2 linked regions of the Danio rerio genome follow. The protein of the gene in region 1 interacts with the protein of each later gene in a pairwise test. Links are inferred from orthologs where the notes say so. Each region holds a gene or a part of one and is shown in the gene's direction. Other genes may lie near its edges.

Region 1 (4,316 bases):
GTTAAAAATGTGTGTATGTGCGTGAATGAGTGTGTATGGGTGTTTCCCAGTGTTGGGTTGCAGCTTGAAGGGCATTCGCTGCGTAAAAAAATATTTTGGATAACTTGACAGTTCATTCTGCTATGGTAACCCATGATTAATAAAGGGACTAAGCCGAAAAGAAAATGCATGAATGAATGAAGTTTATGAATAATTTAACTTATGTGCATTTGTCTGGAGGAGTTTTATTAAATTCTTAGTATTAAAACCTGTTAGTCTTTTGTGCTACTATACTGTTCCTTTCTTCATTAGAGGGGTTTAAAATAATGTATGCCAATAACCTCAAACATGGTGGCACAGTGGCTTGGTGTTAAACACTGTCACAACACAGCAAGAAGCAAGGTTTGAGCCCCAGCTGGCTGGGTAAGTTGGTGTTTCTGTGTGGAGATTGCATGTTCTCCCCATGTTCGCATAGGTTTCCTCCGGGTGCTCTGGTTTCCTCCTTGGACCAAAGGCATGCGCTATAGGTGAATTCAATAAACTAAATTGGCCGTAGTGTTTGTGTGTGAATGAGTGTGAGTTTCCCAGTAACACCCATACACTCTTATTCACACACATACACTACAGACAATTTAGTTTATTCAATTTATCTATACGTGTCTTTGGACTTCTATACATATAATATAATAACCAAACCCCAAAAGTATATGCACTTTTCTTTTTCTATCTTATAGTTTGAAGATTTGTATTGGAATGAGCTAATGTAAATTGGGCCAAGAAAACAACACATTGTGCTGCAGTGGGTAGCGCTGTTGCCTTGCAGCAAAAAGGTCGCTGGTTCGAGCCTCGGCTGCATGGGTCATTTGGCATTCCCCGTGTTTACGTGGGTTTCTTCTGGGTGCTCTGGTTTCCCCCACAGTCAAGACATGCGCTATAGGTGAATTGGGTAAGCAAAATTGTCAGTGAGTGAATGTGAGAGTGTATGGGTGATTCCCAGTGATGGGTTGCAGCTGGAAGGGCATCCACTGCGTAAAACATATGCTGGATAAGTTGGTGGTTCATTCCAATGTGGCGACCCCAGATTAATAAAGGGATCTGAAAATAAAATGAATGAAGGAATAAATAGAATCGAATGTGGAGGACTAGTATAAATAAAATATATTAATGAGATGATATTCCTTCTAGAAACACGTTATTTTAAAGTAAAAATTCAGAAGAAACAAACTTTTTTTCTTTTTACTGAGTTAAATTTTTTTAAAGCCTATTAGGAGATAGTAGGCATGTAATTAAAGTTATGTAAAATTCATCTCCATACTGGTGGGCACGACTGCAGGGTCCCTCTGCTGGGTCGGCCCCCGCCTGTGCACTGACGACAGTGGGGCAAAAGAGAGAAAGCGAGAGGCAGACGTCAGAGAGAGGGATATGCAGCCCGCCATACAGAAGTGTATGGGGCAGTGGATGTAAATAAACCGTGTACAGTATCCATACTTTACTTATTCCCACCCCCTTTTGCCTAAGAGACGGGCTTGGATAATGATCGGGGTAAAAAGATTATGGGGGCCACTCAAAATTAAACTGATTACGTCCGAAATCTGATAACGTAAGGGGCCTTCTGAAAATCTCATTCATCTTTGGGAATCGCAAAGTCCTCGTAGCGGCACGACAGAAGACACCGCAGGAAAAAGGAAGGAGAGAAAGAGAGAGAGAAGGGTGAGGACCGGGAGCACTGGAGAGCTCGTCGCCGGCTTCCGGACATTTCGGGGCGGCATTAAAATCGCAGACGTCGCTCCTGGAGGGAAGGAAAACCAGATATCTTCAGCACTGGACTAAAATTTCTGGAAGCAGCAGCTTTTGATTCAGCGATGTCCAGGAAAGTCCAGAGAAGCGAGGTGTGCGCCGACTGCAGTGCACCAGGTAAGGCTGAGATTTATGGATCAATGCGTTGTTGTGAGCCATGGCTGTCCGGGACTCGCCTGACCGCGGCGGATTGCGGAGGAGTACCAAGCCCGCGTATGCGAAGGGATACTGGGTTAAGCGCGCCAGGAAAAATGCCTAAAATTAAGGCCGATTCTGCGGCCCAACAAATCAGATTTTAAACGCACTCTTAACTTATATGTATCTTTGTAATGCGGTTGAACAGTGGTTGTTCAAGAAGTACAATCTTTTAGTGTATTCACAAAACTTGCATGACTTTAAATTTGGACTGCTTATTCCTGCTTTGCTGCCGTGGCTAAAGTTTTACCCCTTCTCGTTGTTAGCACCCATCCCAAGTTAAGTTGACAAGCCTGCGAGGTGCTGTCAATTAAAATGACCATATTTACTCCACACTTAGATTTGTTTATATGCAGATATTGTAGCGACAGCTTACTATATATTTAAATTGTGTTTTAGTAAATACTCCGCACTGAAAGCTCTATATATCGAACAATGCTAACTGTCAGTAGGCTAGGCTTGGTTGCTAAGTAGCCTGCGGACTCTCATTTGAGTCTCTTCCCAGTTTTAAGTAAAACACGTTTGTGTATTTAGAATCAGTTTTTATGACTGCAAGAGGTCCTACTTAAACATATTCGGTACATTTTTTGCGAATTTAGTTAGTATGAACATGGGTTGAGAATAGATAGATAGCTAACTAGCGCTAGCAGGTTGACAGGACACATCTAACGTTAACTCTGACGTGGGTCAGTGTTCGCTTCTGTTTGCTCTTGTCCACTGAATTGCTTCTAGATAACGGTTGTGTTTGTTATTCTTTATAATAAAATTAATAGTGGTTTAAAATATTATTAGACAAACTGTTTTTGTAGTTACCGCATGGTAACGTTAACCTTAAATTAACGATATGCTACATTAACCGTAGTTTAACTTTGGTTTGACAAATTGTAGTCAATGCACTAAAACATGTGTAATAGACTTTTATTATAGAAAAACTATGAATAATTTGATAGTATGTTGAGTTAACTGATAGTATTGCATTTAAATGCTGGAAAAAATGCTTAAATCTGGTCTTTATTTTACTGGTCTTAGTTGGTCTCCCAGTATGGCCAAGCTGTTGTGTAGCTGGTCTCCAAGCTGGTCTCTCAGCATGACCAGCTTAAAAAGTCCCTAAAAACCCACCTAAAACTAGCCAACAGACCAGTTTGACCACTTGGACACCACCTAAAAGCTTTAAACCAGCTTAAACTGTTTTTAGCACAACTGCCATTTAAAACGTATCGCTACATATTTCCATATTTCTGTAATAATTATGAGCAGTGGGTGAAATCTATCAGCGGTAATATACAAATTTAAGATGTTTTTAGATTTTTTTCTTTTCAAAGTTACTAAATGGGTTTGTCCTAAATAGAGCATAGGTTTAAATTATTTATAGCCATTTCTAGTTCCATCATGCATGCCTTAAGACACAATTTCCTGAAACCAGGGTCAACTTCCCTCTTTTTCCCTATAGCATTTTTATTTTAAATAAATAGGAACTATGTCGTTCTCAGCCATTTGTCCTCAAATGCATTGCTCAATAAATTACCAACAAGCTTAAACCAACCAAATAAAGACACAAGACCGCCTTCAGTTGTTTACAAAACATGTTTTAAATGCTGCTCAGCTGTGCCGTCACTTCAAGCCCACCCTTGGCCTTGCTCATTTAGTCTCACCGTCCCCATGGGGGGACCGAGGGGTGGTACGGGGGGCATGACAGCTGCTCTCTCATCCACAGCTGCTCTCTGCTCTCCACAAATGTACAAGTGTGTCTTGTTTTTGACAGTTTAGTTCTGTTTCACCTCTTTGGCTACCTGCAGTCTTGCTGTGAGCTCGACCAAAAGCTGTCACCGATGCCTGTGGGTTCAGTTATCAACAAAAATCCCCACCGATAGTAGTCATACAGTGCAAGAGCCAACATATTTATGGCAAGAGCGGTTTCTAGAAACAAAAATCACTGACAACATGTGCATGCATGTTTTTTTTTTATTACACTATGTTAAACCTAGCAGCAAATTGATTTGAGATTAGTTTAAGCTGTTAATGTTTACAAATGTCATTGATAATAACAATAATTAAAGCACAATCGATTTTTACGTTTTGAAGTATGTCATCTCAATGCATGTCTTCATCTGAATTTATCTGTTAGTGTGTGTGTAATTAAGTTCAATACTATTTTACATGGTGTTCTGTTGATTTATAGTTTGTTATTCAGTATTAATTTGAAGGTTTATCGTTTAATTAATAATTTATCAGTAAGTATGGTCTATCTAGCTATCGGTTTTAACAAAATCCAACATCGATTGACCTCTACTACTGCAGTGCACTAGAGCTTGTCATTTTCGTGTTTAACATGTTGTTGGAATGTA
Region 2 (3,657 bases), on another chromosome or scaffold:
TGACCCAGCCGAGGCTGGAACCAGTGTCCTTCCTGCTGTGAGGCAATTGTGCAACCCACTGCGCCACCGTGCTGCCCCTTATTTGTATATATTCTATGTATTATTTCTTTTGATGTATTTATTTAATATAATTTTATATACTTAATATTTGCTTTAGATTTTTTTGTTTGTTTAATATTTATTTTAATCATCATTGAATTTTTAAAGACTATATAATTTTACTTATAGTCTTTTATTTTTCATTCAAACACTGCTCTTTCTTTAAAAGTGATTAAAATACACCTGTTACATAAATAGAAAACAGTAACACAGTTCCTGATGCTTTTAGTAACCAAGCTGCCAACAGTCATACAGTGTATGTTTATGAGGACCTTGCCGTTTGTGATCATTTATGTATGTGTGTGTATCTTTTTCTCCGTGCAGTCTTCCGGAAATGTGTGGGTGACTCACGAGGAGATGGAAAACATGGCAACCTCTACCAAAATGGTTAGTCCATCTGGGTGACTCCCTCGTGCCTGCGGTGCCATGCATATGCCACGCTTCCGCAGCCCTCACAACCCCCAGCCTGCTGCCCCGATCCACCCCAACCCCTCTGCCCTGCAAACCACCAACGAGTGCGCTTCGTAAAGCCTCTGCATGCTTCTGTGTCACTGCTGTCCTGTCGCTTTGCATAACCATTAAGTACTGTTTTTAAAGTCTCCCTGAAATCATAGTTTACATTTCTAACGTTGTTGACATAAATAAATAAATAAATAAATAAATGAATAAATAAATAAATAAATAAATAAATAAATAAACAAAAAGTCTTCAGGTTATCTGTAAGCTAGCATGCTCCAAAATAGTGACAAGATTCCCATTTGGAAGACATAAGCATATTATAGCAGCCTATGGGATGCTCAGTGGGTTCAGGTTTAGTACATCCAAGATGGTAGTTAAGTAATGCATTTAGTGTGTATGCTTTAGTAAAAAGATTGGTCATTTAATCTTGTTTTGAATTGAGAAAGTGTGTCTGAGCCTCGGTCATTATCAGGAAGGCTATTCCAGGAGTTTAGGAGTCGTATATGAGAATGCTTAATCTTTTTTAGTGGACTTTGCTGTTCTGTGCACTACAAAAAGCCTTGAGTTTTGAGATCTTAATAAAGTGGGTTGAATAATATATGCGAGTCACCTTAGACAGCAAAATGTTTCAATTATATCATAAATGCTTCCATTTAAAGCTGGAAAACTTGCTATTTTTATAGACACTGCTATTGCAAAGTTTGCTGTAATGAGTTTGATGTTTTTAGCTCACTGACTCTTGCTGACAGAGGTGTGATATAAACAAAATTATATTAGCTATTAAAAAAAGAGAAGGGGCTATACTATACCTAATGTTTCAATTTTAAATTATTTCACACATTGAACAAGCATTTCAGGGGAACTTTAACTAGATTTGCAGTACGTGTTACCTATTAACGATGAGCTCAGATGTTGTTGTCTGGTGTTCAATTGATCTCCTCTGCTTTTGCTGCACTCATTGAGTTCTTTAACTGTAGAAGAGCATTGCTAACACTCTCTGTCTCATTGCCCAAACATGCTGACTCAAAGGACAATGAGGAGGGAAGCTGGGCTCAGGTGAGAGGAATGACCAACTCAGAGCCTGCCACTGACCTCTTACACCTGGTTTAACTTTAGTTCAGCCTAAATGTTCATATTGAGAGTTGTCCATTAACTTCCATATGAATTTAAAATTCCTTTTTGTCATACTGAAATGTATTGTAAGAAGTTCTATACTATTTGTATTATATGTGTAAGTGACACAAAGACTTTGTTGAAATTTGTAATTATGATGACATGAAATTTTATATTATTATTAATATGCTATTTCACGTGTCAAAAATACATGCATACATAAATACGTACAAACATATATACATTTTATTTAGTAAATTTCTGTCACAATTTTATCTACATTTTTGTTTTTTTATGAATAATATGTATTACTAATTAATAATAATAGTATTATATTACTAAAATTTTAATAAATAGTTTTAGCATCTTTATAATCAAACTATTTTTAAATATTGTATGATTAAAATATTGCTATATATTTACTACAAGTTTACTTAATTCATATTTTATAGAAATTTTAAATAAAATTGACTAATAATAAATGGTTTAAATATGTGCATAAATAATCTATATAATATATATTAAATAAATAGTATAAAAATTAAAAATATATAATATTTATATAAACTTTTTGTCAATTTAAATAAATACATAAATACAAAACAATTCAAACATTGTATATATTTTTGTAATTATTTACAAGTATTATTTAAAAATATAAATTTTTATATTATTATAACTCTTTATAATTTATATATTTATATTTATATAATTTCTATGTAGTACATAAACTTTTTCTGTAAAGGTATATTTTATACACATTTTATATTATCTATTATAAAACTTATTTATTGACTATTTAATATTTTAAAGCTGTGTATGATGCAGATGTCAGATGCACAGTGAACTGTTGTCTCTCTTGTATCTCAGACACTGGCGTATGGAGACATGAACCATGAGTGGATTGGGAATGAGTGGCTGCCGAGTCTCGGTCTTCCTCAGTATCGCAGCTACTTCATGGAGTGTTTAGTGGATGCTCGAATGCTGGACCACCTCACCAAGAAAGACCTGCGCACACACCTAAAGATGGTGGACAGCTTCCATCGGTAAACTCATTTTACAGGGGACATGTTTGTTTACTCACTGTAGCAGCTGGAGATTTCTAATGTGTGACCAGAAAAAAAATTACAAATGTTCTGTTATTGTACCGAACAGAAGAGTTTCCATAGACTCCAGATATATGAACTACTCAGGACTACTGAGAAGTTTAATTTTAGAAGGAAATGTGCCAAATTTGTCTGTAAAATGTTATATATATGGCAAAATATGATTTACTCTGAACTGCTTCACTAATGAAGGTCAGTTTAACTTTCCGAAGGAGGCACCGAAGGAGGCACCAATACTAGGGACTCATTCTGGAGAAGCATCTTTTTACCAGCGTTCCTATGACAGGACATTTCTGCTTTTCCAGTTAGCATGTGTTATGAACTGTGTATGAGCACATATCCACAGAATTGAATATGGAACTAATTTTAAAATATTTTTCGGTATTCATCCCCAGTCAAAATTAGCACTGTGTTCTAACTTCATATTCGAAACAAGCACAGTATGTCACTTAATAATTTGAGAACTTTTCCAAATGCCTTCTCTGAATGTGCTCGTTAGCATTCTGTATGGCTTTTGTGGCTAAAATTACCATTGACTGTATTCACTGATGACAGTTTTATCCTGAAACTTATCTTTTCTCTAAAAACTAGAGAATTGTGCTAAAAAGTTATTAATATAATGTTTATTAGTTATTACTGGCATTTTTGTTATGTGGAATTCAATTGTTTTATTGTTACCAGAGTGCCAGATTGGAGTGTAAAGGCTCTGTTCTCTTCTTAAAAGCAGCAGCTCATTTGCATTTAAAGGCACACATACAACAACAATGCTAATTTGCGCTCACACAAGTAGGGTCAAACTTGACCTGCAATAATAAATGATCTTAAGCTGAAATTCACAAATACATTCTGGGGTGCAGCAGAGATTTATTTACATCTTATT

What was found. The genes of interacting proteins can lie anywhere in the genome.
Region 2: the proteins of git1 (region 1) and ppfia4 interact in a two-hybrid assay, tested with the Homo sapiens proteins (2 studies listed by BioGRID). The link is inferred for Danio rerio from reciprocal best matches to the Homo sapiens genes GIT1 and PPFIA4.

Annotation. Positions count from the first base shown.
Region 1 is NC_133190.1:30,984,576-30,988,891, reverse strand, and holds the start of git1 (ARF GTPase-activating protein GIT1), read left to right. Parts: upstream 1-1,389; 5' UTR 1,390-1,841; coding exon 1,842-1,893; intron 1,894-4,316. UniProt on the Homo sapiens protein: GTPase-activating protein for ADP ribosylation factor family members, including ARF1.
Region 2 is NC_133186.1:24,673,865-24,677,521, forward strand, and holds part of ppfia4 (liprin-alpha-4), read left to right. Parts: intron 1-423; coding exon 424-486; exon of another isoform or gene 487-614; intron 615-1,587; coding exon 1,588-1,614; intron 1,615-2,541; coding exon 2,542-2,717; intron 2,718-3,657. UniProt on the Homo sapiens protein: May regulate the disassembly of focal adhesions. May localize receptor-like tyrosine phosphatases type 2A at specific sites on the plasma membrane, possibly regulating their interaction with the extracellular environment and their association with substrates.